Linked DNA regions of Lytechinus pictus. The protein of the gene in region 4 binds, or shares a complex with, the protein of the main gene of each other region. Links are inferred from orthologs where the notes say so. Each region holds a gene or a part of one and is shown on either strand. Other genes may lie near its edges.

Region 1 (7,374 bases), on a different chromosome or scaffold from region 4:
AACGGGGCTCAGCGTCAATCAGAATCAAGGTTGCCATGGTAGTTGCCATAATGGCAAAGTTTCAACAGTTGTAACTCTTTATGAAATGGGGCCCAGATTTTTGTGAAGACTTGATCTTGTTTTTTTTTCATATTTTGGTCATTAATTCATTTCATTTGATCTACCATCAATTTGGGCTTATTGCCATTTAGTCTGCATTTCGCTTGGTCCAATACCCACTAGTCTAATTTGCACATGCCCAGTTGGTTGAATTTCCACTTTGTTTCTTATTATTTTATACTTTCTCAAATGAAAATTTGGTAAATGAGCAGTTTGTCTAACCATATAGACTAACCAAGTGATATATGGGTAAAGCTAAAACGGGGGGTGGGGGGGGGGGGGCGTTTCATAAAGCTGTTTGTAAGTTAAGAGCAACTTTAAGAACGACCAGTGATCCTTTCTTATGCACTTAACCATCGCCAATGAATATACCATTTACCACAAGAAAGGATCACCAGTCATTCTTAAAGTCGTTCTTAACTTACGAACAGCTTTATGAAACACCCACTTGGGATAAGACAAAATGGTAAACAGAATATAGAGTGGCAAATATACTGAAAGGTTATTTGGTGAATTTGTTGTAGATGAAGGAGGATGAGAGTAAGACCATCTGAGATAAGATCACATGGGCAATAAACAAAATGGTTGTTCACCAATTGGCAGTTTACCCATCATATTACATTACCTGTGTGGCCATAGATTTTACCACTTCTTGTATTCTTTTAGAAATTCATTACATCTTTGGCCAGATTTTGTTTGGAGGGGGTGGGGTTCTAATTACACCTTTGATTTTCGTTTTTTATACGGCTTTCAATTGTAGTTGGATTCCCTTTTAATTCATACACACTTTATTGAAAGAAAAAAGTCAATCGTATAATTTTTCTTTGAGTGGATGCACATTCAAGCTAAGCCTAAGGTTGTTGTTCTTATTTAGCCTGTTCATTTAGAATGGTATGTTAAAAGTGAATTGATAAGTTATTTCCAGTGTTTAAAAATATTCCAGCATTTATTTTTATACAGTATGTGTATGTATGTTTGTAGCTGTGAAAATAATTGTATTAGATGTGCCTGACTTTTTTTTGTTACAAGAGCATGCAATATTTGATTTTTAGAATTTAGATTGAGCTTCCAAGGATAAAATTTATTAAGGTTGAAAAACGCAATGAGTGGTATCGGATTGCATTGTACTGAAGAAATATGTGAAGACTAGATCGATATTATGTAAATATTACAAAAATGTAGACAGAATTACCTCAAACTACTCAAACAATTGTGTGATTTAGGTTTCTACTTATTTGGCCAAGTTTGATATGTACCGGTATGTCTTCATGAGAAATTATCTTTTCAAATGATCAATAATGATAATAATAGTAACAATATAAACAACTCTCAATGTTGGATGTGTGTGATTAAAAGATTATTGCAACATAGTACTTCTTGTTTGTTACACAATTTCAATTTCACTGCCAAAATAAGTTAATTTTTTATAGGCCTTGTTGACTTTTTAAAAATAAGCTGTAATTACCCCCAAAAGTTGACCCTTCTTTTTCTTTTTTCCAAGACTTTGCGCAAGGCTCCACCCTAACTTTTTTTTATGGCCCGATCAGTCCACCAAAATCATTGGTTCTAATTATCAATAATAGTTTATTATGGCAGTCTTGTTTGTGATTTCATAAAACAGACCTCAGACTAATTCTGCAAGAATATGTTTTGTGATTGAACAATAATACAATGTGTTTTGTTCATCTTAATCTATCATTTGTTATCCATGCAATATAAATTCAGGTGACAAATTAGTACTTTATGTGCAACAAATATTTTCTGAATAGTGTACTACATACTGCAGAATTTTAGTTTAGTTTATGGTTGATTTGCTGAATTATCTTTGCAATAGAGGTTCAACTATCCTGATATATTTTATATTATTAGTGATTAATTCAATAACATTTATAAAATTTGAGTTTATATGGTTTTATATGGTTTATCTCATTTTGTATTTCTCATTAGAGATGTAAGTGTACAAAAACTAAAAGTATTATTTGTATTAATTTAGTATGGAAATGTATTTTCACCCATACTTGGAGTTCAGTTGATCTGAAACCTATGTATTTCTGTATGAATATTTCCTTGTAAATTCATATTATTTATAGTATACAAACCAGAATTTGAAAAGAATATAAGGAAATCCTGTGTTTTCAAGCTTCGATACTTTTTATCTATGACTCCTCCAAATGCGGCTTAGTAATTTTAATTTCATGTTAATCACACGTTTTTATGAATTAATTGTGAAATGTTTTAGAAAACTTTTTAGAGAAATATTTCATGAAGTAATTTTGGTTCCATTTCCTATATATTTTAAGAAATCATTTTTTTTGCCATCTTTGATTATTTGAAAACCCAATCAAGAGTATGGTTTGTGTATACCATTATGGTCTTTTAATATTTGACAGGTCAAATGATATTTTTCAAAATTTTATATTATGTAGAAATGACTACATGAATTTACATTTTATTGCAATTGTGTAATGTTTTTTTCTTTCTTTTAGAGTTGCTGCCTTCATGATGTCATTACTTGGCAAATGTTATTTACTTATATTCTTGTCTAAGAAATAGAGAATAATGGTTTGTGGAAATTAGCATGTATTGCTTTATAAAGACATTTATGGAAACCTAATTTTGTTTTGAGTGACGTCTCCCCTTTGACTTTTCTATAAAAAAAAATTAACTGTAGGAAAAAAAGGAAATTGAGGGAATGTTTGGTGTTGTTGCATTGGAAAAGATTGTTTATATTAACTTGGAGATGAATGGCGTATAAGAGTAATTGTGTTTGATTGGTGATGCTGAATGGAAGTATAAGACATGGTATCTGAACAGGGTTTTTTTGCTCTGTAGTATACATCAAATTGTGCTTTGAGTTAAATGCTATTGCCCATTTCCCATTTATTTCTGAAAAAAAATATTTAAAAATTTTTGTTTATCCTTATTTCTTTAGCAGCATATCATTTAAACATCCCCATGAGTTTAATGGGCTTATCATTATTGTATACACTGTAAAAAAAGTGGGATTGAAACAACAGACACTTGTTCTTGTCCCCAGAGGACCATACCCTGAGGTATTAAAGTCCTACACCAGGGCCCCGTCTTACAAAGAGTTATGATTGATCCAATCAATCTCAAGTATATGGAAATCCATCAATGTCATAATTTTTTTCTTTGGGAAATTTCATCAATGTCCTTTGAAAACTAAAAGAAGCACACTGAATTGTCAAGAAAACAGTGTATGAATATAAGTCATTTCTAGAAAATATTTTGAACAAAAATGTATTTTACATGTTGACGTTGCTGGCTTTCCATAGTTGTGATTGATCGGATCAATCGCAAGTCTTTGTAAGACGGGACCCTGATTGTTTGAACATTGCCCTCAGACTGGAGTAATATTACTTGTATGGTTCTCATTATACACTGGTAAGCACCACATGTACAGTTTTGCTGTGTATTGATCCCACCGCTGCCACCAATGTGAAGTGATATCATATTTCATAATACTTTTGCATATGATAAGCAAATATCCTGCAGTAATTTAGGTTTGGTGAAATGAATAAAAATTAAAGGAGAAAGCAAAGATGGAGACAATGATAAAAAGTGATGTCTTGATAATTGTTGAAAATGCCACTATTTGGGAATTGGTCCTTTAGGTAGATGATTTTTTCTGAAAGTTTTTAAAAGTAATTAAATCCAAGAAATTAAATGATTAATTGGCACATTATAATACGTGAATATATCAAGTGGATGGAATGGGCTTAGCCTTACTGGAAATAGACAAAATTTAAAATCGTGATAGGCTATATGGCATTTGGACTAAATGCGTAGAGTAGACAAACTTTTGAGCGAATATGATATGTGGGATGAGACCAAACTGGTTTGGAATGAAGTAGGATTAGACAAGGGATGATCAATTGGACGAAGTGGGTGGAGACTATAATGACATGTTGATGTGGAGGATATCTGGGACCTATTTATTAATCAGATAAGGTCTGGACTTGCTTAAATAATCATTTTTTTTTAATTATCAGACCTTGTAGCATTTTAATTTTGATACCCTTAAGAGTAGAAGTGACAGTTTAAAAACTGGGATATAAAAATCATGAACAAAAAACGTATTATTTGGGGAAATTAATACACAACATTCATTTGCAACGAAGCAATCTGTATGATCAAAAGGAATCAATACCTCTGCCTATAAAATGATAATTAAATGAGCAGGGGCGAGGTTGCCTACCCCCGCCCCACCCCAAAATATATGACAAAAAATAATATCCAACCAGAGTAGTAAATAAACAACGCACACACGCCATCTACGACGTCAACTGACGACTGTTTTGCTGATCAAGGAAAGTAGGTGTGTACCTTTTCGTTTTTGTTCTTTATTTCAATTTGTATAAAGTTCATGATGAATTGTTTATATTTTATCACAATTTTGCATATGATTTTATCCCTTTTCCACTTTAGTTTCCTTAGACTGGCTTGTAGAAATGACCGAACCCGATGCCGCAGCTGTCGCTGCAGATGTGCAGCCCACTTCAAGTTCTACGTCGCCCATCGGACGACCATCTCCCGGTCCCGGGAATCTGTCGGCGGAGATCACCTCCAGGCCGTTGGGGCTTGTTGTGCTGACTGGATTGGACGTGACGTATAACGCCATTCACAGAGCAATTTGGGATTCGTTTAGCGCCAACCGTAGACCAGATAGAGTACCACTGAATTTCAAATCACTACCAGCTGACCATGAATATCCAAAGTGTCGGTCAAAGGTAGGCCCACTCGCTTTTTGGTAACCCAGTCCCAGAATCCGACCTGAATCCGACCACTCAAACAAGTTAAACTCAAACTCGGAGTCAAAGTTAAACAGAGGCAAATGCAACCACAAATCATGGCCCTAGGCCGAACATCATCAATCGATATGTCCCGGATCCCCCCCAAAAAAATGAAAGAGGAAAGTAAGCAACTACCTCAATTCGATGGATCTTCGTTTTTCTGTTCGCTCCCCTCAAATCGTGATCCAAATTTTTTTTTTCCCTGAATAAAGTGAGAAAGAAATCTGTACAAAAGTACATGAAAAATGACAAAACATGTATGGATTCGCATGCACAGGAATTGTCTTTGCTTGTAGTATGACAGTGAGTCCAAACTTCGCGCGTGTCCATACTTCGCGGACGGTCATTATCTAAAAAACTAGCCAATATTCTTAAAATCTGACATCATCAACGTGAAAAGCGACCTAAAATTACCCTTTGGTGTAAGTTTCTTTAGGATGAGTTCAGTATTCATGAAAATATTGGCAAAAGATCGGCAAATTTGTCACTGTTGGCGCCCGTTTTGAAGAAATCTGATATTTTCAACAAGCATCACGATATCACCATTTTGCAAGCAGAAATTATCAAAAATGTGAGTTAAATGTGGTACTAACCGATTCTATAGCAATTTGCCGTCAATCTGATATAAATATTTCATTTTTTGAGCTTGAGTTTTTGTTTAAATGTCCACAAAAACTTTGGTCCGCGAAGTTAGGTCACACTTTTTCTGAACGGTTTTCCAGCACAGCGCTCATTCGCCGATCGGAATAGAATTTTGAGATCGCGATACTGGCGAATCCCCTTGACCTACTTTACATTTTCGTCCATGATTTTACAGTTTACGATCTTGCCGTAAATGTGGTAACTATTTCTTGAATTGGTTTTGTATAAATTATGAATATTTTGTGAACAAATTTAAGCCTGATAAATATTTTTGAAAAGTGCGCGAAGTTTGGACACCCCATCATACAGGTATGTGTTTCCTTTATGCAGAGCTCAAAAGCAGGAAATTCACTTGTCTCAATGCCATGCATATGAGTACGAAAATAGATCTTAATAAATGAATTGAACATTGCCAACTGCCTGAGATTAATATACTTCAATCACATCAATAATTGTATAGGCCTTTAATTACTTAAAATTGTACACTTTGTATCATTTGTAAATTGATTAACTGATATATATCTCTATCAGGAATATGTGTAAGGCATGATATTGTGATTGTACTTTTCAGATTATTTGGCAAATCATTCAATAATACTAAAAATGATGGCGTGTTTCACAATGACAATAATCAAATAGCTACATGCATTTTAGAGCAGTTGAAAAAAAAAAAAGAATAGAAGGATGATGTACTCTTTACGAATCAACATTGTATCATAGTGTTCTAATTTTCATCTTCAATATTAAGTAACTCTTTTTCTTTTTTACCTTAGTGATAGTGATGATTTAGACTACTCTACAGAAAGTAATGTCTTTAAAAGCTATTAAAAGGATTCTATTAGCATACAAATTTCAGCAGAGTATAGTAGAACTGAGTACTAAAGAGAGAGAAAGTTGTTGTTTATACTTTATTAAAATCTCTTTTGGAAAGATCTGTCTGATGAGTTCTTTTAAATTCTTGGTGTAAACTGTATGATTGTCATGGAAGAGGTGTTGATGTTGAATTGATCCAACTTTAAAATTGAATTTCTTTATTGCTTAGTAAATAGTTTGCTCACCTGCTTTTTAAATTTCAAATTTTAATACTGAAAGTATAACCAACGTATAATTTTTCTGTATTCCTAATTTCCTATTATACAGTATATTCTTTGAAACTATCATTTTATCATTTGTCTCAGGTCAGTATTTATGTTCTACACATCTAACACTAACCCAGGGAGCTCAGGCTGGCTTCGCGGGCCGGAGCTCGCTGGGTTAATCTAACACATGTATGAAAAAAATGCTGTGAACTTAGTATTCCTTAAACAGGAACTACTCCGGGGGGGGGGGGGGGGCACTTCCATTGACAAGTGGATACCATGCGCGACCATGGGGTCTCGAAAAGCACCCTAAACACGTATTTTCCATATTCTGAAAATGCACCCACTAACAAGTATTGGCGTGTGAAATCCTACCCTTAATAAGTATTGGAAACAAAACGATACTATTGGCAAGTATTCCGTGAATTGAACCCCTAAACAAGTACAGTTTATTTCAATTGTATGTCGCGGACGTCTGTCGTCGGTTTTACCTTTACCTATACATCATTGGGTTTAGTACATGTAGTACAGCCCCACCTCCCACACCTCGCATAAATCGTACTCTAAACAGGTAGTGTTGACGCTTGGGGCAAAAAGTACATCTTTTATAAAACATTTAATTCTTAATTTTTTATACCCTCGCAAATTTGACCCTAAACACGTAGCTTTCCCTTTAAAATAGATAACCTTTTTTCATTATTTTAGTGTTTTTGATACCCTTATTACGTTACGTACGTAAC
Region 2 (7,010 bases), on a different chromosome or scaffold from region 4:
AAAGGAAGTTCACCCTGAAAAAAAATATCAGTGAAGGTTCGAGGAAAATCCATCAAAGATCAAGAAAAGTAATATTAGAATTTTGAGTTTTTGATATGTGATGTCATAAGCGAGCAACTGCCCCAATGTTATAATATAAATATGCATCTTAGTTCTTATATCTAGATCTACACTAAATTGTCAATTTTCTTAAGTTTTTAATGTTTTGTGACTTCTTTTTCTTTCAGCAGCAGGTGTGAAATAATTTCCCTATTGATATAGATTTAAGGAATAATAAAAACAATTTTTAATCTTTTTTAGAAAATGAAATTTCATTGATTTTCAGTTTTAGTTTTACCAATTTTTTAGATCTAGATCTAGACCTCTACTAGACTATATCTATATCATGATCATAATTTAGATCTAGGGTCTGAATCTGAATGGTTGGGTCAGTAAAATGTCTTTGACGAACACATCGACACCAACTTGTTGAGAATAGCGCACTGTTTGGAACAACTTTTTTCTATGGCTGTTTGCATAGACTCACTTAGGTCCAACCTTTTTAGGCCTAACTTCAGTAGAGGCGCTGGTCCAAAAATTGGGACTGGGGTTTCCAGTATCTGCAGCTGATGAATCTGTGTACATCCTGACAGACATAATGCCTTAAGTGAAGTTAAGTCTTCTGGTTATGAAAAAGAAGCTCTTGCTTTTAGGACAGATCCTGAACGTTGCCCCTGATAGAACAGAATGAAGGCTATTTCTTCATAGCATCTGTGCCAAACACCCCTTCAGTTCAACAATGGTGCCTTGTTCTCAGGATGCTTAATCTTCCTCCGTTAGATGAGCTTTTGGTAAAAACCTCCAACCTAAAGCCTTTGGTAACACATGGTGGTGTTAGCAGTGACTAGAACATCAGAGTCCAGGCAAAGTGAGGCTCTCTCTGTAAGAAAAGTTCACTCTCATTATGAACCAGAAGACCAAAGCCTAAGGCTACTGACTTGTATCCTGGACATATAGCTAATCCCACCCTGAGACCAGCTATCACCATCAGAGCCTAGATCTCATGCAAAGTTTAGGCCAGACTTGTCAGAATTAGAAAGGGTTCTGATGACATCTGTCAACCATGTTCCTAAATAGAGAAGATGTTGAACACTGTCTCATCCTGTCCGGCCACTGCACCTGTGCCCCGTGACCTCATCAATCGCATTAAGGACAACGACAATACCGCACAATTTGCAGGTTTATTTGAGGCAGACCCCCAGTCCTTTCTAGAATGTATCATCCTCTTTCTTCCCCCTGTACGCATCAGCAGTGCCAGTAAAACCTAGCTCCACACTCTTATTTTATACTTCATTCGCAATCTTCACACAACTCACCAAAACCTTCTCAGCAACCTAACTCTAGCAACCCATAGGAAGCGTCTTCAGTCATTTTTTTTTACTGTTATCAGCGATCTCCGACATTAACGGAGGAAGGAAACAAGAGATTGTCCCGGAAAAAAAAAAGGATATCCTCAAAAACCAAGACAAATCATGTCTTGATAAATTGAGATTGTCCTTGTTTATTATGGGGACAGTTTTTTTTTTCACTTACCCCTGTGGGACACAGATGGCAATTACGGGGATTGAGAGTGCTAAAAATAGATTCAGTGACCTCAATAACCCCTAGATCACTGTCTATTTTTCACGACTTGCCATCTTCCAAGTTCCAATAATCTTGTTATGAAACCTAATGAGTTTACATTGACTAGCGCACTCAATTGATGTCAGCACTTGACAGGTGAATGAAATTTTCCTAGATTTCTTGTGTGGAGAAATCTCTGAAAACTAAGACAAGAGAAGAGTGAGACAGTCCCTGAAAACTGGGACGATCCCAATTTTCTGACCAGCGCCTCTACTGAACAGAACTTAAGCAGTTGGACTCTGTCATGATGTCACAAAATGACAAATCAAAATATCAATTATCAGTAGAGGCGCACGGCCAATATTGGAGACTGTCTCCAATGTGGGAGATTATCTCCAATATCAGAGACTTTTGTAAAGAATTTGGGTATCCAATTTCAGAGACAGTCTCCAGTTTTGGAGACCTATTTCTTTGTTTGCATTTGCTGCAAAAGGATTACCTTGGCGGCAAATAAAAATGTGATAAGCAGATTCCTCGTGAAAATTACCCCTTTTCACCGTCTACTTTAAAAATTCACCGTCTACTTTTGTTTTGATAAGGATTTTTGTTGTCAATCACACACAAAACAAATGGGCTTCTGACCTCAGTGAAACAAAATTTTGGGTGGAAAAAATCATGCTTTTGTTGGTGTTGTTTCTTTTGTCCTTTTGCAAAGCAAGTCTCCAATGTGAATGTGGGAGATTGTCTCCCCTATTGGAGAGAGAGTCTCCCATATTGGCCGTGCGCCTCTACTGATTATCATAATTCTAACTTTGGATTTTCCTAAAACCTTCACCGATATTTCATTTATACAAATTTTTGTCAGGGACAGGGTGATTTTCACAATGTTAATCATATTCATAATTCATTTCACTTTTTTGTTTTTTTCAATTTAGGCCTAGATCTAATTCATCATGAACAGGAGGAATACCTTCTGAAGTTAGTCTGCAAAATGGCCTGACCATTTCCACAAAAGATAAATTGTTCTTTTGTGCAAGAACTTCTGCATCATGACTGCATGCAACTGCCACAGTTGGTCCAAAAGTGTTCTGAATAAACTCCCTGGCACTTTGCGAGCACTGCGCCATTCTCATTGAATCCGGCGTCTGATCCCGAGACAAACACAAAACTCAAACTACACTGCACAGCTTCTTCTTGTCCTCCTTGCTTTGAAAGTCAACATATAAATTATGATAATCACCACATGTTATCACATATCCGTCTGATATCATCAAGCCTAGCAATCTCAGCTCTCCCAGAGCCAGTATTTTCCCCTTTCCCTTTTTTTGCACAAGTTCAGGCTCAGCTATGCCTATGATCATCCGATGAAACAGGCAGTCGCCATTATTTTGCACTAGCATACGCCACACTTCGCTACGCCAACGGGTGAGGATAGGAAACACCACATAAAAGAATGTAAAATAGGGAACCAGCGAAAAAAAAGTTAGAAACGAACGAGATGGCGCTTTTGAGTTTTGTTTCAAGTTCCGTTACAGTCACTGAGATTCTAATGCCACTGATTGCCCATTGCCTAATTAAAATTAGACAGATATTCATTCGTATATTATTGATGAGATGTTGATACACTAAATACATGTATGTTTATGTTTATGACGAGGTCTGGGGTCAAATTTTGAAGAAAACATGGACCAATGGGAACCAATTAGCAGATATCATCGCTCCAATTAAGGGGGGCGGGGCAGATTAGTCCACTGTTTTCGGCTGCTCAAGATCTTGGTTGGGGTATTTCGAAGTCCTAAAGACTTGAACATGATGATAACGTTTTCTCTATTTCATCCTCCCTTAATTTTATGTTAGTTTTTTTTTGTTTTTTGCCCCTCATCCCCTGTCCATTGCGGTGATAAGGCTAGGGTTGCAATATTCCAGCTATATAGGGTTGAAGTTTGTCATCCATAGTGTTTGAAATTTACAGCGGAGCCGGGGCAAATGTCATATAGAATTATGGAACCACTATGCGATCCGATGCGACGCGATTTTTTTTCAATAAATTGAATTTTGCATTAAATGTGACATTTCCAAGAAGCAAAATTATTTTACTTGAAATTCGTCATAATGTTAGGAATTATAAAATCATAATTTTGCTATGCGGCAAGCCCTGTGTTCGGAGTTTTGTCCAACTTCGGCTCCAAGTCGGAGGCGATGATGACGTCATTGCGATTTGAAATTGATTTTGCTTTATACCTACGGGGAGGCTCGATCGAACTTGACTGAATTCCGATTTCCTATCACAATTCTGAATTCTGATTGTTAAGATTATATTGGTTGGAATGTTCATATCAAGACTGTTATTGCAATTTCTTTGAAATTCGGATCGCAACGAATCGCATAGTGGGCTTTATTCATCCTTTAATTGCCATTCATTTTTTTTATCATTTCACGTGTTCCCCTCTCTCTCCCGCTCTCGATCCCGCCTATAGCATATCATGTTTTAAGGGCCTATTTTCTCATTTTCTTTCAGTACCTTTTCTTTCCAATGTTCCTTCACTTTCCTTCATTCCCCCATTCTTCCGGTTTCCTGCCGCCTCCCCCCTCTTTTTTCCTCCTACCCCCCCCCCCCCCCCGCGGCTCTCTCCCTCTCTCTCTCCCTCTCTTTTATTAGCCCTACTTTTTTTCCTTTCACCCTTTCAGAGTCCTTTTTCATTAGTCTGCCCTGAGTAGGCATACTTTTCATTTTCTCCGAGTCTAATTTCCCTTTAACTGGTGAATTTGAAAAATTCTAAATGAAAATCCCTCAGGGGCAGTAAATTGTCCATGTCCCCTCCAACGTGGGATGTTGCTATACGCTACTGATAATAACAGGGTATATTGCAGAAAGTGCTTACCAATGCATTCTACAAATAAAATTACATTCATGATTATAAAATTATGGTTACCGAAAATTATATGTGTGTGTGCGTAGGGAGGGGGGTGAGGTGGGTTTGTGAGTGAAATAACCCCAAAAATCGAATTCAAAAGAGAGAAACAAAAAAAGCTCTTGAAATGTTAAAAAGGGCCTACTAGCGTACCTAAGGGGGGGCAGGGGGCAAACTGCCCCCCCCCCTGACGAGTCACAGGCAAAAAATAAAAAATAAAGCGAAAAAAGGGAAAGAAAAGAGAAAAAAGGAAAGAGAGAAACAAGGGGGAAGGGGCAAAAGAAGAAAGAGTTTCAGAGAAAGGGAAAACAAACACTGGACTGCATGCAGACTGTCGGGAAAAAATGATAAACTCACGACGTCGCCAATTTCGTCGTGAATTTGTTTTGCTTGCCTGGGCGGTATGCGGGTTGAAACCAATTCGTCTGCTGCTAATTCCTCCACTCACAACAGGGTCTACCTTCATTTAGTCTAATGCAATTTTGTCCATCAACTTTTCGCCTAACAACCATATGGTCCAATAACCATTTGGTCCATGTCATCACTTCGTCTAATCACCACTTCGTCTATAACCATATTTCGTCTCATGATAACTAGCTGGTCTAATATCAATTTTATTTTCCTTAATTTCGCCCAATTAACTCTTAGTCCAATTAGACCAAATGGCATATGGACTAAATGGCAATTGGTCCAACTGGTTATTAGGCGAAATGGCAGTTAGACTATGTGGATAGTGGACGAATTGATGGTAGACCTAATGATAGCAGACGATCGAGTTGGCATTAGATCAATTGAAAATAAACCATTGAAACGACAGAACGATGTCCACTGCTATCCATATGCATAGGCGGATCCAGGGGGGCCCAGGGGCCCAGGCCCCTCCCCCTACTGGCGGAGCAAAAAAAAGGGGAAAAGGGAAGAAAGAATTAAAAAAAGAGGAGGGAAAAGAGAGGAGATAAAAAAGAAGAGGAGGAAGACGAGTGAATAAAATAAGATGAGGGGAAGACGTGGAAATAAAAAGAATCTTTCATGCCACTATATAAAATTTTCGCTTGCGCTTCACGCTCGCATTGCCTGTTAGGTGATTTTCATATCTTGTTCCAGGGGCTGATCCAGCCTTCGCCAATAGGGGGGGGGGGGCGGAATTAAATTGTGAGGTGGATAATAATAATAATAATGGATATTTAGAGGCGCTAAAAACAAAAAGTACCATAGCGCGTACAATATATGAATAATAATTTAACATTTGCAATAATTACTACAATATTCAAGATAAAAAGGGAAAGTAATTATTGAGGAAAAAGGATATGGATCGCACTTAATAAAGAGTTGATATTTTTCATTATAATTACTTTGAGTTTTGACATAGGACCGGCACATCCTTACACTGCTAGAAAATTTGAATAAAAGAAGTTCCTGCAGCAGAGTCTCGAGAACACCTGTAATCTTACCAGATTGCGTAATCTTACAGGAAATTGGTATTTGGTGTATGGAACTTTACAAATTTCCTTAAATAAAACAGCCTTTTCCCCTTTTTAAACAGACCTGTTCTATTAAATTGCAGAAAAAATCCTGTTTTATGAATTTACGGAATGATTCTGTTATTGCTTTTGCAAAATCTTCTGTTTTTTCTGTAAAATCAGGGCTTTTTTTTAACAGTGTAGGACATGTCATCATATGAAAATGATGACTGTCTTCCTATTACTCTTGCTAAGCGCGAGATGAAACAAAAGGGACAATTCAATTATTAAATTAATATTTTATTCATTAATGCCTAATGAGGGCGCGAAGTCTGATGATATTATGGCCTGAAAACTGGACATTTGAAGCACTTTTGTAACTATAAATAGGATGCATCAGTCAATATATTTCTAACCATTAATGCGAGCGCAAATTGCGAGCCTTAATTGTCATGAAAAGGGGAATGTACATGTATAATCAATATTGAGACATACATTCAAAATGCGAGCGTGCAGCGCTAGCTGATACGTTTTGACAATCAGACCTGAAAAGGGATATTTTGAAAACTTTATGGAATACACGAAAATAATAGGTACCTGATGAATCGAAATTTGCGAGCGCGCAGCGCTAGCAGAAAATATTAATATTCAGACCATAAAACTGTCATATTTACAGAGCACTTTTTAAAAATCAATATGTAAATCACGCAAAAAGATGAAAGTTTGATTCTCGAGATGAAATACGTTTTGTATATTGACTTCCAAACTTGATATTTAAACTCCGTATTGAACAAGATATGAAAATCCCCGAACAGGCAATACGAGCGCGAAGCGCGAGCGAAAATTTTATATAGTGACATGAAAGATTCTTTTTATTTCCATGTCTTCCCCTCATCTTATTTTATTCACTCGTCTTCCTCCTCTACTTTTTTCTCCTCTCTTTTCCCTCCTTTTTTTTTATTTATTTCATCCTTTTTCCCTGTTTTTTGCTCCGCCAATAGGGGGGGGGGGGGGCTGTGCCCCTCGGCCCCCCTGG
Region 3 (7,750 bases), on a different chromosome or scaffold from region 4:
TGTGATGTCACACACGTACAACTCTCCCATTTGGACACCGAAAATATACCCCAAAACATCTTTTTTTGCTCATTCTAATCATATGACAAACGATTCATCAATGATATAATGTTGTGAAACCTCTGTACTTGTCATCTCATAAAGAGAACACCTCACCTTGTGATAGAGACTCTATAAAAGTGAGAATATAAGTGAAATAAGTACTAAAGTAATGAGGGAGTTGTACGTGTGTGATATCACAGATCTTGGTCGCATTGCCGTTGGGAGGATCTACATGGCACTAGTGATCTCAATATTCGAATGCTCATAACTTTCTTATTATTCATTCAATCTTCCTCAAACTTTCAACAATATGTTTCTTTGATTTTTCTCTTTGATATGGATTCAGCTGGTTTCAAGGGTTTCATTCTCCTTTAAAGGACGAGTCCACCCCACCATTAGTTGATTTGAATAAAAAGAGAAAATTTCAACAAGCATAACACTGAAAATTTCATCTAAATTGGGTGTAAAATAAGAAAGTTATGACATTTTAAAATTTTGCTTAATTTCACAAAACAATTATATGTACATCCTGGTCAGTATGCAAATGAGGAGACTGATGATGTCATCCACTCACTATTTTTTTGTATTTTATTATATGAAATATGAAATATTCAAATTTTCTCCTCATTGTCAAACAAAGATTAATTCCTCCCTGAACATGTGGAATTAACATTTTATAATACCATATGGTTCAGTCAAGTTGGTCTCTTTTGTCAAATCTGTAAAAAATAAAATATTGTATAATTCAAAGAATAAAAAACAAAAGAAATAGTGAGTGATGGACGTCATCGACTGTCTCATTTGCATGTCACTGAGATGTGCATGTAACATCCGATTTTGATGAAATTTTTAGCGTTTTGCTCGTTGGATTTGTCTCTATTTATTCAAATCATCATTTTTCTGGACTGGACTTGACCTTTAACTGGGCGTTGTGGCATGCGCCTTTAATCCAAGCTATATCATTTACTGTATGTGGGGAAGTTACAAATATTGATGCAGAGGTTCGAGCCCCGGTCACGTCTTTCGGATGGCGACGTTAAAGGTCCCAGACGTAAATAGGCCTAATATCCGATTGATACTGATATACACGTCTGAAAAAACTCAAATGAAGAGTTTGGTTGCAAAAGGGGTTAGACTCCGAGAAAAGCCACGTTTTTATTCTCACTTATCGCAATATTCTTATGAGAAACAAAATTGTAAAGATGTACTACCCTATCGTTAATTGGGTATACCTGCACGTCTTCAAATTTTTCTATATGTTTTTTTTTAAATATCATTGCGGACCTAACCCCTTTTGCAAGCAAACTGAAATGAATCCATAACCTTTTTTATTACAAAATATATGTTTCTTTGCCGCTTTTATTCACGTTTTCATGTGAATTTCAAATTTTCTTTGGTATCATCATAGCGACTAAAAATTTAGAGGTTTTGAGACAGAAAACAATAAGATTTATGAAAAATGGAACTAACCCCTTTTGAGAAATGAGCTCTTCAAAAGAATTTGGTTGCAAAACATGCAAAAGGGAGTCCACTCCAAGGAAATCGTTTTTTTTTATCTTATGCGAAACTAAATTTTCATGATACCCTACCATGAGAATGTAAAATTGGGTGTAACAAGAAATATCTACCTGTCTTCATAGTTTTTAAAATATTCTTTTCCAATGAAAAAATCTGTGTGGATCGACCTAACCCCTTTTGCAACCAAACTGAAATGGACCTAACCCCTTTTGAAAAAAAGTGATTTTTCTTTGCCATTTTAGTTCACTTTTTGATGGGAATTTTCTTTGGTATCATCTTACATGTATATAGCTACTAAAAATCTATATATTGAGACCAAAAAATAAAATTTGATGAAAAATTGACCTAACTTCTTTTGCAAGTGAGCTCTTCAAATACACATGTACGTTGGGAAATGACTCTGAATACAGGTACGACCTGGGTTTGTTACAAAAAAAAATTGAGAGCTTTTCTTGTAGGATGTGGAAAATATTATGGTTTAGGCCTATTTCTTTATCTTCAGCCTGCAACCATCATAGCACTGTGATTTTATGTCGTCACTCGTGCCCTAGATGACGAGGTTTTGCGGGACATGAAATATCCGACAAAATTGTCGTTTTCTTGCAAAATTTCAATCAAATCAAAATTTCATATCAAATTACAACCGGCAGGCAAAAAATGTTCATTCGACCCAACCCATTCTCAATAAATTTTTTAATTTGATATTGCTGATTGACGAAAATGAATGAATATGATTGACAATCTAACACTGATTCTAGGGAGGGTACCTACTGAACTTGCTTTTTCCAAATTGGAAAGATATATCACTACCAACTATTTTTGCTGGCGGAAGAATTAGGGCCATTTTACTCTCTCAAGTGATGAATTTGACCCATAGAGATTATAGAGTAGTTATTAGTGTATATCTCTATGATGACATTCATTCCATTGCTTGTTTTTATGGGCAATACGTCATGATATTGACTATTTATGCCACCCACTGTAAGAAAATTAGGGTGACAATTTATTTAGTATCATTATATTTATATTTTTTAATTTCTTTTATATTCATTCTTACCTTACCTTACCTTACCTTACCGCAAATACTGGAAGAATGCTGAATTAGCAGTCGAGCTTCCAGGTCTATCTTCTAATTTTGTCAGCTTCCTTCATGCTTCAATAAGTTTCAATAAGTTTAAGGAGGCAGTGGGGCAAGTTGGTGAAAATTGACTTCTCATATCCAGTTATTCTTGTTTTTCTATTAAAAAAATAAATACATGTGAAACAAAAAATAACTGAGGTATAAGATATCAACAAACAATAGGGGGATTACTTCCCGAAAACGACAAGTTTGTTGATCGACGATCTATGAGATATTATATAAAATAAAAACATTATAACACGAGGGGATAACTAGTAAATTAAGAGGCTTTTTATAGGAGGAAATTATAATTTGTTAACAAATTTTCGGCATTTGAATATTAATGAATATTAATGAGTCAGAAAGAAGAGGATCGAGGGTATTTGAATTCCAGTTCATCGTGGCTTAGCCGTGAACCAGAATAGCCTGGTGGTTGAGTCGCTGCCCGGAAAGCAGTAGATGGCAGGTTCGAATCCCACTGGTTCCAATTTTTTCTGACTTATGATCATATGATTTTCATACTGATCTTATGATTTTCATTTACAGATCGAGCATACTGATCTTAAACAAATAGGAGTAATGCCGAAAATTTGTTAACAAATTATAATTTCCTCCTATAAAAAAGCCTCTTAATTTACTATCTATTGTCCACGGCGGACGGTATTTGAATATTAATGAGTCAGAAAGAAGAGGATCGAGGGTATTTGAATTCCAGTTCATCGTGGCTTAGCCGTGAACCAGAATAGCCTGGTGGTTGAGTCGCTGCCCGGAAAGCAGTAGATGGCAGGTTCGAATCCCACTGGTTCCAATTTTTTCTGACTTATGATCATATGATTTTCATTACAGATCGAGCATACTGATCTTATGATTTTCATTTACAGATCGAGCATACTGATCTTAAACAAATAGGAGTAATGCCGAAAAAAAATTGTTAACAAACGAGGGGATAACGTTTTAATAAGTTTTTCGGTACTTTGAATTCTCAGCTAGTGTACCAAGCACCAAAAAAATCTGCATTTTTTTGTAAAGATTAGTTATACAATTCCAATATCTCAGTGGCCTAAGATATATTTTCTGGGGTTATATTGACCCGTAAACAGCGAGAGAGATTTATGTGATCAAGAAGTGATAAGATAGAAAAAACTGATTTGAAATGAATGAAAGAGAGACAGGCAAAGAAGAAGAGCCCCCTCCCACACCCGTACCAGAATTACGGGTCCTGTCGGTGGAGTCGAGATCCCGTCAGGTGTAGTCTTCATAAATGCTGATTTATTTTTAAAATGAGCCGGTCGAGGTACCCTTTTCTGGTCAGATATGGAATGTCAGACATTTATCCTATCGAGTGATAGTAAACATTTAACCCTCGAATTTCCTCCTTATTTTTTTAAGAATGCTTTTTAAAGTGCCACTTTAACACACGAGTCTATGGGAAATGAATTAGGCCTGTGATATGATGCCTAAGTATTAAAGGGGAATCCAACCCAAATGAAAACTTGTTTTTAGAGGAAAAAGTAAATTCAGACAAGCTGATAGGTGAAAGTTTGAATAATATTGGACAAACAATAAAAAAGCTATGATTATTTAAAAGCTGTAAATATTGGTATTCACTATACCATGGAGACTTCAAATTGGCCGCATATATGATGTCATAGTGATTTAAGGCAAGGACTACTCTTCCATGTACTGAAATACACGAAATGGCTAAAATGTCATTATTTTCAAAAGTCATACTTCAAATTGTAATTTTCTTTCATGAGGACATAAAACAATATGCTACCTGGGTCATATTTAGATTACTGCCCCAAGGGAAAGGGTACTTAGGAGAAAACCGCAAATCCCTGATAATTAAGTACAATGGCCTATGAGAAAGTTGTCATTGCCCCTTGTCATAATTTTCTTACTCATTTGCCAATTTGAAATCTACATAGTATAGGGATCTCGATTTTAAAACAGCCATAACTTTCTTATTGCTTATCCGATTTCTTTCAAACTTTCACCGTTCTTTTTTATTCATTTTCTTCTTTCCAACACAACATTTTATGACCAAGGCTGGATTCCCCTTTAACGCGAACGTTGTACCGGTAGAGGGCAGCATTCAATTCTATAGCTGGAACGTTAACAATACTTGCTCCCGACGCAGATCCGGAGATTTGGTCCAAATTCTAATTAAATCGGTAATAATTAACGTTAAAAGACTGAAATAACCCCTTTAAACGAGCTGGTAAGTCAAATCAAATATGGTAACAGTTATATCTATCGTACCCCACTCGCATGTAACTTAATATGACTCCCCAAAACTGTACTGAACTGAGTGAAGGACGCCTAACTTAAGTTAACCCTAACGTACCGGTACCGTACCACTCCGCGGCACTTGCCGGTAACCCGGCCCAGGGCCAGGGAGCTCGCTCCCGCCCGCAGCGCAGCTCCTTACCTAGACCAAAAGCTTCGGTCTCTGTTAAGTGTTATGTTGGTTGTTCAGCTGAACTCCGTTGGCTTCACTCACCAAATACAGAGACCGAAGTTCTAGCGCGATCTGTACAGGGGACTCAATGGCCATATGTTTATGTACTTAAGATCGGATAAAACGGGGAAGTGAATTTGCGCGACAGCCGAGGTAAGTCACTGTTTTTGTTCCTTTTAACTTGATTTTTCTCAGTTTTTTGGCAATTGATGCCAAGAGGGAATATTAATTTGCATTTTGGTCGCGTGAATTTTCAAAATTTTTACTCATTAAAGACAAAAATTGAAGAGCCCCGACGGGGGGATTTTGCATTGCAAGTCCCCTAATGGTGGCTGCACGCTAGCGAGCCGTCTGTGTATGAGGAGAAATTAAAAAAAAATAAAATGTTAAAAAACTCCTCGAAACAGACGGCTGCCAGCTGTCTACTCCTTACCTAGACAGGAATAACCGTCGTTTCTGGGGATTTATTCAACAATTTCTGACATTTTACTGTAATCCCCATTTACCGACGGTAGGGTGTACGTGTGGGCTCGCATGTGTTCTCATTCCCTCCCTTTTGTCAATTCACAGTCCAAAGTTTGATGTAATTTTACACATCGAATTTACAATCTAAGGATGTATAAACAACAAACTTTTAGACCTTGATATTCGAATATTTAAATACTTTAAACGATATAGATGAAAAAGGCATGAAAAATATACTTTACCGATGTTTAATTGGGTTGAACACGATAAAAATGGTCAAAATGGCAGCCAAACTATAAAATATTTACAAACGAACGTCAACAATCACGAATGTGATATCGATATTGCTTTCGATATTATACGATCTGCTCCATATGCAAACGAAACCGAAGATAAACGATACTAGTTATACTAGTACTAGTACTAGTTATAATCGCGATATATCGATTCGAGACATTAAGTTAATAACGATAATGACGTCATTCAAGATGGCAACTTGCTAGAAAAACGGTCAGGTCAGGTGAAAATGTCTTAGATGACAGATTTCTCAATCATCCAGAGGATTTTTTTCAATAACTCCGGCCCAAGGTATGCAATTACTTAATTTATTTATATTTCCCTGATAATGGAAACCATGAAACTTTCAATTTTGCTTAAAAAACAGTTTTAAATCGCGATCTATAAAACGCTAGTTCACTATACGTTGGCTGTAGGTACGGGGCCCCATCCCCTTCAGTCTATGTATGGTGAGTGGAGCCAACGTAGTTCAGCGGAACAACCAAATTACAGAGACTGAAGCTTTTGGTCTACTCCTTACCGGGCTGGAGCCCAGGAGTCGTCCGTGTAACTAGGCAGACAAGTACAAGGGTACTCTTCAAAATGGCTTAAAATGGGGTCGCAATAGCACTCAAAATAAAAGGGGAAAAATAAATTATGCAATTACGGTACCTCGATGAAGCCAAGGCAAGGACAAGGTCTACCGAAATGACATTTGACACAGAGTCTGGCTTAGCCTTAGCCTAGGCTTAGCCAGGCGGCTTCTAACAGAGAGTAAAAATCATAATACTAACGTAAGGTTACTCTCATACGAAGCCAGGACTTCTACCTCATAGACCCACACAAAGGAAGCCAAAACCTGAAACTTTCACCCCCAAGATTTCTACTTCTAAAAGATCTAGGTCCTAGCTCTGGTCAGTAGAGGTGCATGGCCAATATTGGGAGACTCCAATAAGGGAGACAATCTCCCACATTGGAGACTTGCTTTGCAAAGAACAAAAGAAACAACACCAACAAAAGCATCATTTTTTCCACCCAAAATTTGTCTCGGAGGTCGGAAGCCCATTTGTGTGTGGATGACAACAAAAGTCCTCATAAAAACAATAGACTAGTAGACAGTGAATTTTTAAAGTAGGGCCTAGATGGTGAAAAGGGGTAATTTTTCATGAGGAATCTGCTTATCACATTTTTATATGCCGCCAAGGTAATCCTTTTGCAGCAAATATAAACAAAGAAAATTGGTCTCCCAAACTGGAGACTGTCTGAAATTGGATACCCAAATTCTTTACAAAAGTCTCTGATATTGGAGATAATCTCTCTCATGGGAGACAGTCTCCCGTATTGGCCGTGTGCCTCTACTGCTGGTGCACGAAGATCATGTCTCCCCTTCTCCTGTACAGCAGGGAGTACAAGTTCAATTTTGTAAGTCTGTCTTTATATGGGACGTTCTTCAGCTCTCTAACCAGCTTGGTTGCCCTTCTTTGGACCCTTTCAATCCTCCTTGCATCTTCTTTGTATCTGTTGTGCCAGAGGACACTCCCATATTCAAGGTGGGGTCTTAGGGTTTTGAAGAGCAGAGGCAGAGTTGTCCTTGTGAGTTGAGTGAAGGTTCTTTTCATTACGGCGAGGAGTTGGTATGCCTTGCTAACTCCTGATGACACATGCTGGTGACCCTAAAAAAAAAGGAAATGTTATTGTTACTTTTTTTAGATCTAGAATAACTGCATCTGTGCGTGGCTGGGGATTGGTGTTAGCCTTGAGGACTCCATGTCTGATATTTTTTAATATTTTGACATATATACTTCTTTAGAGCTCTATGGAGCCTCGAACCACCGGCCATATATTATAACTAGGCTATAATCATGATA
Region 4 (7,056 bases):
CATACATTAAAAAAAAATATTGATATGGTGGTCCACTTTAAAGGCACCCATTTTCAAGCACGATTCTGTCACCGAAAAATTTTCATCATGAGAGGTCCTATTCCCCTGCCCTTTAATTTGACAAGGGAACCATTCTCTCTCTTCCTCTCCTCGCTCTGGTTTATTATCAAATATGTGCGTTTTGTGTGATAAGCTGTCCTCTTTATTTCCTTTCAGTACGAATTTCTCCCCCGAATTTCAGTTGTGATAATTTCATTCCTCAATCATCCAGCATTAGTCATAAAATGTTGTGTTGGAAAGGAGAAAAATAAAAATAGAATGGTGAATGTTTGAAAGAAATCGGACAAGCAATAAGAAAGTTATGGCTGTTTTAAACTTGGGATCCCTAAGAGTGTAGATTTCAAATTGGTAACTGGGTAAGTAAATTGTGACAAGGTGCAAGGACAATTTCCCAGAGGTAGAGAACTTGGTTATCAGGGATTTGTGCACTCTACAAAATTTTGGGTAAAGTGCTCCATGAGAGGGTAATTATGTGTCCAACCAACATTGGGCATTTTTATTTATCAAGTGTGATGAATATTTTACCCATTCTAAAGTAATTGCTGCTTACTTGTTAACCTTACTGGACAATATGCTTCCCGCATTGGGTAAAATACTGCCCCAAATTGGTTGAACACAATTACCCTCGTAGTGGTAAAAATTTTACCCAATGTTTTTTACAGTGTGGTTTTTGCTTTAGTACCCATTTCCCTGGGGCAGTAATCTAAATATAACACATGAAGTATATTATTTTATGTCATCATGGAACAAAGATAGAATTTGAAGTAAATCTTTTGAAGAAAAAAAACATTTTAGCTATTTTATGTATCGGAGTACATGGAAGAGTAGTCCTTTGACTTACATCACTATGACATCACACATGCGACCAATTTGAAGTCTCCATGGGTATAGTGATTACCAAGTTTTACAACTTCTAAATATTCATAACTTTCTTATTATTTGTCCGAACTTGTCTGATTTTTCTTTTTTCTCTAAAAAAACATGTTTTTATTTGGATTGGATTCCCCCTCAAGGTGAAGTCTACCCCAAACATATAATGAAATATTTATCATAATTGGATGTAAAAATAAGAAATTTGTGTGATTGCTTTGCAAAATAATGAAGTGAAACAGTTTGATACCTCCCTGAACTTGTGATGGATGTGGCATTCATGCTGTATCCTATTGGGATTCAATGGAGAGTTTTCTGTAAAAATATATTCTCTTCCACTGGAATTATATCACTGTGCTGTGCACATACATGTCAGTGAAAATTTGTAATGACGTGATACAATTGTCTTACTTTACATCCGATTTTAAAGAATATGGCTATTATGCTTTTCATATAGTCATTGAAAAGAGGCGGCATAATGATATATTAATAGGAAGCAAGACGACACAAAGTCATATTTTTTCTCTCACTTGTTCTCACTTGAATGATAGCATTACACTATCCATATTTCCTACTCTTTCTCTCCACCCCCACAGGGGCCGGGGGGGGGGGCTGGGGGCCCCACTTTTTTCCAAAACTGTACAAAAAGTAAAAATGACCATAATTATGATTGTGATTTTTAGCATGATCAGCCCCCCACTTTTGGCTCAGCCCCCCCCCCCCCCCCCCACTTTGAAAACTGTTCCGCGGCCTCTGCCCCATGACCTAAACCACTTACGTCACACCTCCCCGCCAAGCTCGCTGAACAGGGGCGGATCGGTGATTTCTAAAAGCTGGTCCTGATTTACCTTAACGTCACTCAACAATAGTGGGGTATAGTTGATTTTTTTTTAATTGATGGTCAAAAGCTTAAAACAGAAGAAAAATAGTATTTCCAAATAAACGATTATTACAAACATTTATCACTTAAAAAAGGGAATTAGGTTCTTCTCTTAAACAGGGAGGGAAGTGCCAATTTCGGACTCAATAGAAGGGATCTCTTTTCCATGTTCCCCTGGAAATCCGCACCTTTCACGGAATCTAAGTGAAGGGGTAAGCAGTAGCGTATACGCAGGATTTTTGAAGAGGGGTTCGAGTAGAATGAAAATTTGACAAGCAAAAAAAAAGAGAGAGAAGGGTTTCCACCCGATGACAATTTTACAAGCAACAAAAGAAAAAAGTTTTCAAAAAATCTGAGTAGGGGTTTGACACCTGTTACCTCCCCCTGCGTACGCGTCTCAAGGGGTAAGAATCATCCTCCAAGAATTCTCTTCCATATCTTTTAGAATTCCATCAACCTAAAGGAATTAGTCGTTTCCTTTTTTCATCGAAAATTTTGGAGGTAGATACAATAAAGATTTTGTACACGAATCCTTTCCTCGCATTCTTTTACAGAATAGAAAAAAAATCATACTGTAAGATAAAAACATACTAGAAGCTTCATGTCTATCAATGTTTGACATTTTTGTGAAAACGTTACATTTTTGTAAATAATCTAGTACTTTGTACCGTGGGCGGGGCAAGAACTTTTAAAGAAGTTTCTAGATCAGGGGCGGATCCAGGATTTTTGAAGGGGTGTGTCACATTATCCCGAGGAAAAATTTGATACATTTCGAAAATTTGACAAGCAAAAAAAAAAAGGTCCTCACTTTCAAAAGGGAAGGAATATATTCCCCCTAAAAAAAAATGTTGAATCTAGAACACTGGCGGATCCACGGGAGGAGGGGGGCCGGGGCACAGCCGGCCCGTGCCTCCCTCATTTTGAGAGGCACAATTTCTATTCTCTCCTCTTCCGATTTTCTCAGTTATTCACCGCAAATAGGGGGCCGCAGTCGTCTTATCATTGTCCTTCATAATCTAGTCATTTTTGTATCGTGGGCGGGGCAAGATTTTCCAAAGGGGGGGGGGGCACATTTTCATGAGGCTGTTCTAATTCAAGGTTTATGTATTGGATGTAGAAAGCACTTACATCAATTCTCATTTTGTCAACCCTTCCTTTTTTTATTCTTTCTTCCTTTATTTTATTTTCCTTTTCCATTTCCATGTTCTTCTCCTTCCCCCTTCGGCCCGTCATTGATTCATCATGCCTCTCTCGGCCTATAGTCAGGTTATATCCTTTTCAAGTGACTGACTCATTTTCAGGAAAATGGCTTTCGTTTTCAGATTTATTAGCTCGATCCGAGTTTCTTTAGCTTATATATTATATCTAAAGCAGAACAATTCAAAATTCACTATTTTCAGAATTCTTTCAGTCTGGAGTACCCATTTAACTTTTAAATGTTCCACGAGCAAAATTTTAGATCACGTTGCACATTTGCAGGAATACTTCTATTTCGTATTAAAAAATACAAAAGGAAAAGGGCCTAGTAAATATTAAGGGGCATATATACAGGCCATGCTGATACGCATAATTCGATTTGATGGAATCATCGGTGATATGCTTCTTGATAGTTCATAAGTTCATGAAATTTATTTCCACATTTAATACAAATATGTCAAAGGCACCATTACAGAGGAAAATGACATAACGTCAGAATACAAAAGAATAAAAAGCAAAGTTAACAATATACCCCCAATACAATACAGAAAAAAAAATATATTATATGTCTAGAATGTCGGGGAGCAACAAAGGTCAAAGATCTATCGAGGTTGCTCCCATGTGGTTAAGAAAGATAGATATTAAAAAAAAATCATACATTTGAATCATTTTTGTTGGGTTTTTATTTGAAATTTCAGGAGATACTGCACTGTACACATCCAGAGCCAAAAAAGGTAAAAATTAAAGAAATTTCCTTTTTGAAGATCGAGGGCCAGGCTGGTATGTACTTTCCGGTCAAATTTAAGCTAAATAAAGGAGGAATTTGGTAGAGTATGGTTCGGGAACGAAGTTCATGATTTTTCTTCCAGTGAACAATATGAATATAAATGACTATGAATACTTGAATACTATTTAGTCAGTTTAGTGTGCAGTCCAATTGATGTCTTTTGTTTACTCTTGTGGATGATTGGTTCACTGAGTATTTGTACCATAGTAGCTACCATGATCTTCTGAAAATCTCAGTAATTGAAGTTTTGATCGGTAACTTCAATCGTGGGAGTGTATAATTGCCGTGATCGAGTTCTTCTTATTTCCAGTGAGTAAATTCATTAATAAATCGCACTTTCTTTTTATTTTCACGTTGTGTGTAGTGAATATAAGCAACCCACATACCTGGTCTATTACAAAAGTCCATACACTAATGTCAATCTCAGCGGTGAACACAGGGAATTTAATGACAAAATATGGAAGTTACTATTTTGCGTCTTTTTTTTATAGTCTGCTCTGTCACCTCTGAGTCTGACTGACTCGACTCTGTCTGACTCAGTTTGAGTCGTTTGCATCGATCCTAATGTCTTAATGACAATGTGAATGTTACACAATGGGTGATTTCAAGTACGGTGTTGAAATCTGGTGTTGGTGTTGTGACAACACCATGCACCAGCCACAACACCGTACTTGAAATCAGGCTGGTGTTGGGTCTGGGATTGACCTCGGAAAATATGACGTATTTCTGGCAGTTCGTGTTGAATGCTGCCTTGGTGTTGAATTAGCCTGGAGGCGTCTGGGGAGTGAAAGTACCGTAAGGATACTAGTATTCAACCCGTTTGGAGAGTTTCTTCAAATAAATAACAGAAATATGGAATTTACCTGAATTTCATACCTTGGCTTTGGCTTTGTTATTTCCATTTCCAGGGTAGGTTGTCGGTATTTTTTTAAAGACCAGGGGAGCGTTTCATGAAAGGACCTGTCAGACGTTTTATCCGACAAGTCCTATTTTATCCGACAGTTACTATAGTAATAGTGCTTCTCAACCAATCAGAATCCAGGAAAGTTGTCAGATCTGACAACTTGTCGGACGAAAATATTGATGAAACGCCCCCCTGGTCCTGGATGGGATGAGGGTTGATTCGTGACCTTGAACTTGGCAACTTTTAGAAAAAATCCAACTTTGAGGGCGCCCTACAAGAAATCGACGCGCATGGTAGGGCCAATTTTTTGTAGGTCTGTTGAGCAAGTCATACTCTTCAAATATGCATAATATTGGGTTCTAAGCTAATTGGATTTGGAAGTTATGAGCCTCCAAACATGCACCCAAAAACATTGACTTGGACACTTAACACCATTTTCGGCGACCTTGTGCGCAATAACGGCTGGTCAGATCCACGTCATATTATATTGTGTGTATTAAGACTATAAAGTTCTTCCAATTTACAGAGAACACTGCGTCATCAAACTTGGCTCCAGCAGTCAATCAAAAATAGCTAATTTTATTTAAACTTTATTGTTTGGCCACGCATTGGTTGCTAAGGGAGGCCATATCTCAGCAACTGTTTGACCTTGGGGCAAAATATTTCAGTTTTTTCCGTCAGACACTTGGGGAACATTTGGTGAGAGTTTAAAGAAAATCGAAGGGGGTCGGGTGACAAATTGTCTAAAAATTTGTTGATTTGACGTGGATTGACCCAAATAACAACACTTTCGAAATAAAAGCAAATAACAATCATCAATTTGCTTTTATTTTATAAGTCACAATTAGCTTAGGCGAGCGAAAAATTGCTCAACCTGAAAGGGATTAAGGTGAATGGTAGCGAGTGATTGCTCTCGCTCCCCTTAAAATTGAGTCCCTGAAGGCACACCTGACTTTTTCTGTTTTTTTAAATAAGGGAAAAGGTGTGTCCTATACACCAGAAATACAGTTGAAATCTGTATCGACCATCTTTGTTGACCACGTTTTCAAAACAACCTTTGTGATTTTGGTTTAATGTGTTTAATTGTATTTTTTTTCCTCTCAATTATTTTTAAAGGAAATGATTCTTCTTCGATTGAAGACATGGAGATGAATTGTCCCTGAACTTGTGAAATTTCTTTTACCATCATGAGTATTGCTGACTACACTCAAACCCCTGAGGACCATCAGGCTTTTCTTGTGACAGTGAAACCAGTGGGAGCAGTCAAAGTCCAGGCATTTTCCAGGATCATCAACCGCATCACCAGTGTTTCGTATGTGCGGGTGCCCGACAACAAACGTGGCATCTGGCTCAGATACAAGCGTCTTGTCCACTTAGAAAACAATGAGTGGGGCGACTTCCAGGTCCATCGACGTGTCGCCGGCCTCATCTGCTTGGGAAAGGCATCGTCGGAGATTGAACTCGCCACCGTGTATGCAAACTTTGACACAATGAAGGAAACTTTTCGGAGCACGCTATTTGACTCTAGGTGTTTTGTTTTTGGGATGTCAGAGGAGACGGTGCAGGAGAGTGCGTCTGGAGTCAGACCTGATGCTGTGTATTACAAGAGTATGGAAGACTGTGATCAATTGGAGGATGATGTCAAAGAATTTGCTTCAGCGCTGTTCTGGGTGTTGGAATCCAAGCGTCTTGATAAAACAAATACCAGCAGAAATGACAAGCTCCCTCTCTTAATGGCACCATTCGAGCGGAAGGATATTGTTGGCATTGATACGGAGACAAGGTAATGATGCTTGTACTTCTACATTTTCTGTATTTTCCTTGTGAACATATTCCGATAGCACATGATGAAAAATTTCCACAGACCAAATCGGACATTATTTGGCCCATGATGGCTCAAGCTCATGCAGCTTGAATGCCTATTTAGCCCTATTGAACGCCCTGTATAATAAATTTTTGGAACCTGGGTCTAGCCATTTCATAACGCTGTTCATATCTTAATAGAGCATTATGGTCCTCCCTTGGCAAATTGACACTGATTTCAATTGGGCTAAAGAAGGTATTCGTGTGGCAACATATCAGGGCCTACATGAACCGCTTTCCACCAAATTTGGACTGTTACTATTTTTCATCATGCTCTAATGAGATATGGTTTCCAAAATGCTGAAGTGCAAGAAATTTATTTTTATGAAATTATTGCTTGTACATGTACTCTAATCTGAGCTATTGAAAAAAATAGACATACATGTAGGCTGTAATCTTGACAACTTCTTCTTAACCACAATTTTTGTCTCACCTGCATAGCAGAGTGAGACTATAGGCGCCGCTTTTCCGACGGCGGCGGCGACGGCGGCGGCG

Evidence for each region.
Region 1: trafficking protein particle complex subunit 9-like (region 4) and trafficking protein particle complex subunit 11-like share a complex: the UniProt entries of both Homo sapiens proteins name them as parts of the multisubunit TRAPP (transport protein particle) complex. The link is inferred for Lytechinus pictus from reciprocal best matches to the Homo sapiens genes TRAPPC9 and TRAPPC11.
Region 2: trafficking protein particle complex subunit 9-like (region 4) and trafficking protein particle complex subunit 8-like share a complex: the UniProt entries of both Homo sapiens proteins name them as parts of the multisubunit TRAPP (transport protein particle) complex. The link is inferred for Lytechinus pictus from reciprocal best matches to the Homo sapiens genes TRAPPC9 and TRAPPC8.
Region 3: trafficking protein particle complex subunit 9-like (region 4) and trafficking protein particle complex subunit 12-like share a complex: the UniProt entries of both Homo sapiens proteins name them as parts of the multisubunit TRAPP (transport protein particle) complex. The link is inferred for Lytechinus pictus from reciprocal best matches to the Homo sapiens genes TRAPPC9 and TRAPPC12.

What each region holds. Positions count from the first base shown.
Region 1 is NC_087246.1:18,601,252-18,608,625, reverse strand, and holds the start of trafficking protein particle complex subunit 11-like, read left to right. Parts: upstream 1-4,362; 5' UTR 4,363-4,438; intron 4,439-4,548; 5' UTR 4,549-4,571; coding exon 4,572-4,850; intron 4,851-7,374. UniProt on the Homo sapiens protein: Involved in endoplasmic reticulum to Golgi apparatus trafficking at a very early stage.
Region 2 is NC_087246.1:37,676,253-37,683,262, forward strand, and holds the start of trafficking protein particle complex subunit 8-like, read right to left. Parts: upstream 3,023-7,010; 5' UTR 2,736-3,022; coding exon 2,573-2,735; intron 1-2,572. UniProt on the Homo sapiens protein: Plays a role in endoplasmic reticulum to Golgi apparatus trafficking at a very early stage. Maintains together with TBC1D14 the cycling pool of ATG9 required for initiation of autophagy. Involved in collagen secretion.
Region 3 is NC_087261.1:4,625,826-4,633,575, reverse strand, and holds the start of trafficking protein particle complex subunit 12-like, read left to right. Parts: upstream 1-4,743; 5' UTR 4,744-4,901; intron 4,902-7,750. UniProt on the Homo sapiens protein: Component of the TRAPP complex, which is involved in endoplasmic reticulum to Golgi apparatus trafficking at a very early stage.
Region 4 is NC_087245.1:18,182,085-18,189,140, forward strand, and holds the start of trafficking protein particle complex subunit 9-like, read left to right. Parts: upstream 1-4,050; 5' UTR 4,051-4,103; intron 4,104-5,814; 5' UTR 5,815-5,885; coding exon 5,886-6,481; intron 6,482-7,056. UniProt on the Homo sapiens protein: Functions as an activator of NF-kappa-B through increased phosphorylation of the IKK complex. May function in neuronal cells differentiation. May play a role in vesicular transport from endoplasmic reticulum to Golgi.